2 linked regions of the Mytilus edulis genome follow. The protein of the gene in region 2 interacts with the protein of the main gene of each other region in a biochemical or structural test. Links are inferred from orthologs where the notes say so. Each region holds a gene or a part of one and is shown on either strand. Other genes may lie near its edges. The genes, in order: ran GTPase-activating protein 1-like and E3 SUMO-protein ligase RanBP2-like.

Region 1 (3,945 bases), on a different chromosome or scaffold from region 2:
TATAAAGAATGCTTTTTAGATAGTTTGCTAGTGTAAACATTTATGTTGCAATCAAACAATTTCTTTATTTTAAATGAAGGACTTCATAGATGGGTATTGTTTATGTGATATATTGGAAAGGCGACTTAAGTTAACTTGATATGAATGGATAATACTTGTTTCTATCTTATGAGTTACCTGAGGTAACCGTGAATGACAGAATATTTAGTAGATACTTTGCTAGTATATGCATTTATGGTGTAATAAACCAACCTCTTAATTGTTAATGTAGGAATTCTTTGAAGTTATATTGTTTATGTGATGTAATTAGTATGGCGTTCATTATCACTGGACTAGTATATATTTGTTTAGGGGCCAGCTGAAGGACGCCTCCGGGTGCGGGAATATCTCGCTACATTGAAGACCTGTTGGTGACCCTCTGCTGTTGTTTTTTATTTGGGCGGGTTGTTGTCTCTTTGACACATTCCCCATTTCCATTCTCAATTTTATATGTAAAGGTGATCTGAATTAACTTGAGTTAAATAGGTTGTATTTGCTGTTATTGTTTCGGTTACCTCAGGTAACCCAGCTATGAAAGAATTCTAAGTTGATACTTTGCTAGTGTATACATTCATATTGTTATTCCACAATTTTTTAATTTGAAATGTAGGACTTCATAGATTTGTATTGTTTATGTGATGTATATGTATTTAAAGGTAACCTGAGTGAACTTGAGTTAGATGGGTTATCTTTGTTGTGATTGTTTTGGTTATCTGAGGTAACCCTGTCACGTAAAAATACGTCGTAGATAGTTTTCCAGAGTATACATTTAACTTCTAATAAACCATTTACTTTATCATTTTGGACTTCATAGATAAGTATTGTTTATATGATATTCAGGAAAAGCGACTTTAGTCAACTTAATTTGAATGGATTATATTTGTTGTTATCTTTGAAATAACATGAGGTATCCCTGTTATGAAAGAATACTTCGTAGATAATTTGTTGGTATATGCATTTATGCTGTAATGACACAATTTCTTAATCTAAAATGTAGGACTTCATAGATTTGTATTGTGTATGCGAGGTCTATATAAATGTAACCTGAGTTAACTTGAGTTGAATAGGTTGTATTTATTGTAATTATTGGGATTACCTCATGTAACCCTGTCGTGAATGAATACTTCGTAATACTTTGGTAGTGTTTACATTTATTGTAATAAACAAACTTCTTTATTTCAAATGTAGGACTTCATGAAAGTTGTATTGTTTATTTGATTTACATGTAAAGGTGATCTCAGTTTACTTCAGTTAAGTTAAGTGGGTTATAATTGTAATTATATCTGGGGTTACCTCAGGTACCCATGTTATAAAGAATCTTATTAGATGGTTTGCTAGCGAAAACATTTATGTTGTAATCAAACAATTTCTTTATTTTACATGTACGCCTCATAGATGTGTATTGTTTATGTGACATATCGGAAAAGCGACTTTAGTTAACTTGATATCAATGGATAATACTTGTTGCTATTTTATGGGTTACCTGAGGTAACCCTGTCATAACAAAATACTTAGTAGATACTTTGCTAGTATATGCATTTATGCTGTAATAAACCACTTTCTTCTTTTGTTATGTAGGAATTCATTGAAATTATATTGTTTATGTGATGTATATGTAAAGGTGATCTGAATTAACTTGAGTTAAATAGGTTGTATTTGCTGTTATTGTTTGGGTTACCGCAGGTTACCCTGTTATGAAAGAATTTTTAGTACATACTTTGCTAGTGTATACATTTATATTTTAATTACACAATTTCTTAATTTTATAATAGAATGTAGGACTTCATAGATTTGTATTGTTTATGTGATGTATATATAAAGTTACCTCAGTTGACTTGAGTTTAATGGTTGTATTTGTTGTTATAATTGGGGTTACCTCAGGTAACCCTGTCATGAATGAATACTTCAGATCATTAATTGAACTTTTATAAAAAAAAAAAAAAAAAAGTTTATAATTTTACCAGCCATCCCCACCCTACACGTACATACGAAATGAATGATCGGTGAAAACAAATAATAAAATCATTTGGGAAGTTTGTTGACATCTTTGGTATTTGGTCACATTAAAATTTGGTATTAAGATCTATCTAAATAAGAACTATATTTTCGTGCGTATTTAATCAATGACGCATTACCACGATTACCTCAGGGCACCGATTACCTCAGGGCATACAGCAGCGGACCTAACTGCCACCTGCTTTTGGCACGAGGTGGCGAAAAAGAAAATTGCCACTGGGGAAACCCTGGATATTAAGGTGTATAATAAGGCCCAAAGTTTGTAGCATTGCAGTGAATGAGTAAGCATGAAACTTTCCTTTAGCTTAGTATATCCATTCGGGTGCTACGTCAACACAATGCGCTTAATAACTTATATTTGTTTTTGTTTTGTTTGTTTGTTCTGTTGTTATTTATGATTACCATCAGCAGCGCTATTTAGCTTCAGTCCCTTATTTTTGAAACTTAGTTCATATGTTTCATTAACTTTGGTCTTTGCCAACTGTTCAGTTACTGATGTCAAGTCTTTTGATGACATTTTAAGGGTAATATTTGTAAAATCAAGGCAGTTGGGCCTTCTCGCTTTCAAGTTTATGGCGCTGTTTGTTACTTCCGTTTCAATGGTCTGACCAAATACCATGAATATTTATATATCGCCCAATGCTTTATTCGTCCCAAAATCAAATATCGCCACATTAAAAAAAAATGTTTTTAAGATTGGCTAGAACTACTTTTTCATACATCTAGTGTACTGTGCCATGAGTTCTTACGACCACTATTGGTTTTTTTGCATAAGATTTCGAATATATAAAAAAATAAATTTAGCTAATGTATTCACCGCCGGGTTGCGTTTCAGTTTTAAAGGATTTGTATCATGGCTAGATCTATACAAATCCTTGGTTTCAGTATATTTTGTATATATTTCTTTGGCCTTGTTTATTTCTTAAATACATTAAGTATGTGCAGGTACATATATGTTTCTGGTTTTTGGTTTGTTAGTTGTCAGTTAATTTGTTATTTTTTTTTTACTTTTTATAATTATTTTGTATGATTTTTTTCAGTAATTTTGTAATAATTTTGTATGATTTTTTTCAGTAATTTTGTAATAATTTTGTTAGATTGCATTGTCAGAGACAGAAAATACAATAATTCTAGGTTGTTTTTGTTTACAGGTCTTTTATAGTTTATTGTGTCTGTGACTCGTCCCTTTCACATTTTGAATAGTTTAGAAGGTAAAAACATAACGGATGTTGAGATGTGAGAACATTGGTTCCATTTTACATGTTTAGTTATTATCATATACTTGTTCTATAATATTTACATGTTTGTATATAATAAAAGTCAATGGAGTTATCGCCCTTACACAAAGGAAACAAGATTCAAGATTTCTAGATTGTATTTGAACACTCAGACACAGATACATGTTTTAGAGGATGGTAAAGGGTTATTTTCGTGCAACGTACGTGTTTCAAGTACCATTTTTATTTCACGCGCAGCCGTGCAAAAGGTTCGTTATTCACAGTGTTTCGTGAAATCGGAAAAAAAATCATCTTGCAAGAAATTTTTATTTGTGATTCTGTGCAAATACTTGGCCTCTTTTTACGCCCCTCGTGCAGCAAGATGTCATTCTTTTTAAAACAGTCAATAGAACTGAGGACAGTGGACTCTTGATATATACCATGGTTAAAAGTTTTGTGGTATATTGATATGTTGTAATTTGTGTTTTGACTTGTCACTATATTTTATACTTGCAACAATTGATATATGTATTATTTATTACCGGTATATGTATGAGTGTATGTTAGTTTTTGTTTGTTTTAGTTTGTCACAAACATGTATCATTTGTTTATATGGCAATACAGATTATTATTATTAATATTAGCATCACACGAACACGACGAAGTAAACATG
Region 2 (3,945 bases):
TTGTGACTTTGACAGAGATTTGTCTCATTTGCACTTATACCACATCTTCTTTGATCTATTATGTTATAATGCACCTTGTATTATAAAAAAGAATGTAAATAAGGAAGCGCCGTTTCTTGTTGTATATCACTTCTGCTTTTTATTTATTATTTTGTACATAAATCAGGTTTATTCTTTTCTTCATTCTTATAAATCATTTTATAAGTATCAATTAAAGGCATTTCAATTACTATGGAGTATGGATTTTCCCCATTGTTGAAGGTGCTATGATAAATTGCTCAATAAATATTGAAACCATGAATTAAAAAATGCAATCACATACATTTTTTCTTTCATTATAGAGGTCTGTTCCTTAATACTGTTTAGTTGAAACGGTTTTGTTATTTAATATAAGCCAGATCTCCAATTATATACTTATAAACGAATGAGAGCTGTGTGGAATTTATGGATTAATGAATAAGTAAAAATAATATTGTATTTTTTTTTTACAACATTGACTACACATGAGAGTGTTGCAAATACGATAATACTATAAATATCAACAATAGTGACAGATTAGCCATGCTTGACTTCAACCGGAATATATAAAATACAAGATGTGGTATTATTGCCACGGTGATATATACACCAGACCCCACAATGTCACAGCTATATTCATTCACAACTGTAGGTTACTTTTTTTTCTCTTGATAAACAACTGTAGGTTACTATAGAGCCTTTAGTTTTCGCAGTAGTGTAGTGTTTAAAAATCTTAACTCTATATAAAAACATCAAATGTTCCAAAAATTGGTGAGTCAAAAATTTATATATTTCAAAAAAGACAAAAAATAACCAAATGTTGATAAATATTTTCTTGAACCTAATTGTAAATACTACTTTTTATTAATTGTTGTGTAATTTATCATAATTAAATATTAGGTTAAATAATTATTAGTATGATTGAAACAACAAGCTTATTCAAGGGAGATAACAATTGCAGTTCTGGTCCATTCTTGTGTAGATTTCGCTCACAATAAATCACAATAAATCTATTCATTCATTAATATTTACATCATGTACTATTATTATTGTTATTGTAACAATTTATTTTTTACACAAACATGTACACCCCCCTCTTTTAACGAGGATCAATCGACAGCTGTTACTTTTGATTAAATAAACACTGTCGTTATTTAAAAAAACAGATTTATATTGACATGATGTGTATTGAAGTTCACTGAATACATGTGTGGTTGAATCAGTATTTGACCCCATACTACACATTACAACCGATGGAGTCACCTAATATATCCACCCCCCTTTTTAAACAAAGCTAGTTACACACACTAGTCTATTCAAATATCTTCAATTATGCTTTCATACTAATATATTAACTGATTACATTAATAAGGTGAGTTGTTATTATATCAAATATATTTCAGCCATTTACACATAACCAAAAAAAAAAATAATGGACTATAATGTCAAGGGAGACAACTATCGACATCTTTTTGAAAAAGATTCATTTAGAGATAATTACACATTTTACTTAAAATTAATTGATATGAAATGTCTTAGATCATCATTTAGTACATGTCTTTAAAAGGTTTTTGAAGGGAGAGACGATAAACAAATTAATTTGCCTATATAATTCAACAACGTCACCGTTGATTCATTTTAACAAAAAGTAAACCTTAATAACAACACTTTGACACTTTTGTTTGTTACAAAACATATTTAAATCGTTCATATTATGCTTAAAGATTGTTACAAAAGTGTAATTTTGAGAAAGTATCGCTTGCCTACCTCAGTTTAGTGATCGGTCAAAATATTCCCTGTGGAAAGTAAAACACGTGGTATCGTAAACGGTTCAAGGCCAAATTTGTTATATAGTTATCGTTCTTGAAGAACTCTTTTGTGTACCTCCTTTGGTCTCCTGACGATGCTATCATTAGTGTTACCCCTCTTAAAGTCCAACTGAAAATATGAGTTCGGCGTTAAGACGTTGATGTACGGTGTCAAAGAAAAGAAGCATAAAAGCCTTTCATAATTATTTGGACTATTATTTACATAGCATTCAGAATATTTTAAGTTACCCCGTTTGGTCTTCTGGTTCCAACCTGATTTATTGGCAATATCAACGCCAACCATTTCTTGCCATTATAAATATTGGAGAATTGACTTCAACAGAACATTAACACAATTCATTATTTCAATCTGTATTTATTAACTTCTTGCTTGGTATCATTATTGACTATTGTACAGAACACATTGTCCTATCTCTCCCCCTTTTTTCTCAGAACTCATGTCATGACAGAAGCCACTTTCACTTTCAAATATTACTTTAAACTTCGTCCAGAGAAATTATTTTTGTGATTGAACATTCTGAAGTATTACCTCTTTTTCAGGGATATGAGATACATATCTATCGACGTCTTTTCTATTGCGTCTTGACATTTTTCATTCATTCACTTTCGTTCATGCCGGCGGATTACAAAAAACTTTAAAATATGAACCAATAAGATTACATTTTACAACTACCACCTCAATCGGACCAATCAAATTCGGTGTAATATTTTTAAGTTTGCCGCTTACTTCGTATAGTATCGGATATTTTCTTCATCAAGTCCCATAAACCCAAATACACTCGATCAAATTCCCGGGAACCACTAATGACAGGACGATTGCCCGGATAGTGACAGGACGGTTGACCGGACGACATATATATAGTCATAACTTTTTTGTTATCCGATAGATTTGTTTAATATTTGTAAACCTGAAAGATATTAAACTATATTTTATGAATATAAAAAAAAAGAGGAAAAATAATTATTTTTGAGCAAAAAAAGTTGACCGGACGGTATTCACACTCGCCAATATACGCTAAATATATATTCAACTGGTTGACGACAAGTGTTAATATCTCTTTTGTTTTACAATATTTGTCGATGAAACTCAGGAATCTGTGAGATTTATAAATATGTTATACGAAAATATAAACTTGATTGCAAAAAAACGTGTTTTTCTCAAAAAAAAGTTGACCGGACGGTATTCACCCTCGCCGATATACGCTATATATATATTGAAATGGTCGACGACAAGTGTTAATATCTCTTTTGTTTTACAATAGTTGTCGATGAAACTCAAGAATCTGTGAGATTGAATAATATATTACACGAAAATATAAACTTTAGGGTAAAAAAGAAAACAAATCTGCAAAAAAAGTTGACCGGACGGTATTCACCCTAGCCGATATACGCTATATATATTTTCAACTGGTCGACGACAAGTGTTGATATCTCTTTTGTTTTACAATATTTTATCATGAAATTCAGGAATCTGTGAGAATAATAAATATTGGATACGACAATATAAACTTTATAGTGAAAAAAAAAGTTTGTCTCCAAAAAAAGTTGACCGGACGGTGTTCACATTCGCCGATGTACGCGTTAATTATATTGAACTGATACAAATAAGTGTCAATATCTTATTTGTTTTACAATATTTTTACACGAAACTAAGAAATCTACCAGATCAATAAATACTTGATATTAAAATATAAACTTTATAGTAAATAAAAATGTTTTTCTTCAAAAAAAGATGACCGGACGGAACAAACATTCGCCGTTATATGCCTTAATATAAGTTGGTAGACCCAAGTGTTTATATCTCTTTTATTTTATCAAATTTATGAAATCTGAGAGATCAATAAGTACTTAATATGAAAATATAAACCTTATATCAAATATGTTAAATGTTGTTCTTAAAAAAAAAAGTTGATCTGAGGGAATTAACATTCGACGATATTATTATTTAAATATATTGAACTGATCAACACAAGTTTTAATATCTCTTCATTTTTATAATATATCTGTCCATGAAATGAAATAATTTGTGAGATTAGATAAATATTTTACAAGAAAAATAAACTTTAAAGTAAAAACAATGAGCCCAAAATGTTTATGT

What was found.
Region 1: the proteins of E3 SUMO-protein ligase RanBP2-like (region 2) and ran GTPase-activating protein 1-like form a complex in vitro, tested with the Homo sapiens proteins (5 studies listed by BioGRID and IntAct, with this or other methods). The link is inferred for Mytilus edulis from reciprocal best matches to the Homo sapiens genes RANBP2 and RANGAP1.

Annotation. Positions count from the first base shown.
Region 1 is NC_092351.1:73,540,142-73,544,086, reverse strand, and holds the start of ran GTPase-activating protein 1-like, read right to left. Parts: upstream 2,664-3,945; 5' UTR 2,573-2,663; coding exon 2,458-2,572; intron 1-2,457. UniProt on the Homo sapiens protein: GTPase activator for RAN. Converts cytoplasmic GTP-bound RAN to GDP-bound RAN, which is essential for RAN-mediated nuclear import and export. Mediates dissociation of cargo from nuclear export complexes containing XPO1, RAN and RANBP2 after nuclear export.
Region 2 is NC_092348.1:12,671,962-12,675,906, forward strand, and holds the start of E3 SUMO-protein ligase RanBP2-like, read right to left. Parts: upstream 2,502-3,945; 5' UTR 2,437-2,501; coding exon 2,377-2,436; intron 1-2,376. UniProt on the Homo sapiens protein: E3 SUMO-protein ligase which facilitates SUMO1 and SUMO2 conjugation by UBE2I. Involved in transport factor (Ran-GTP, karyopherin)-mediated protein import via the F-G repeat-containing domain which acts as a docking site for substrates.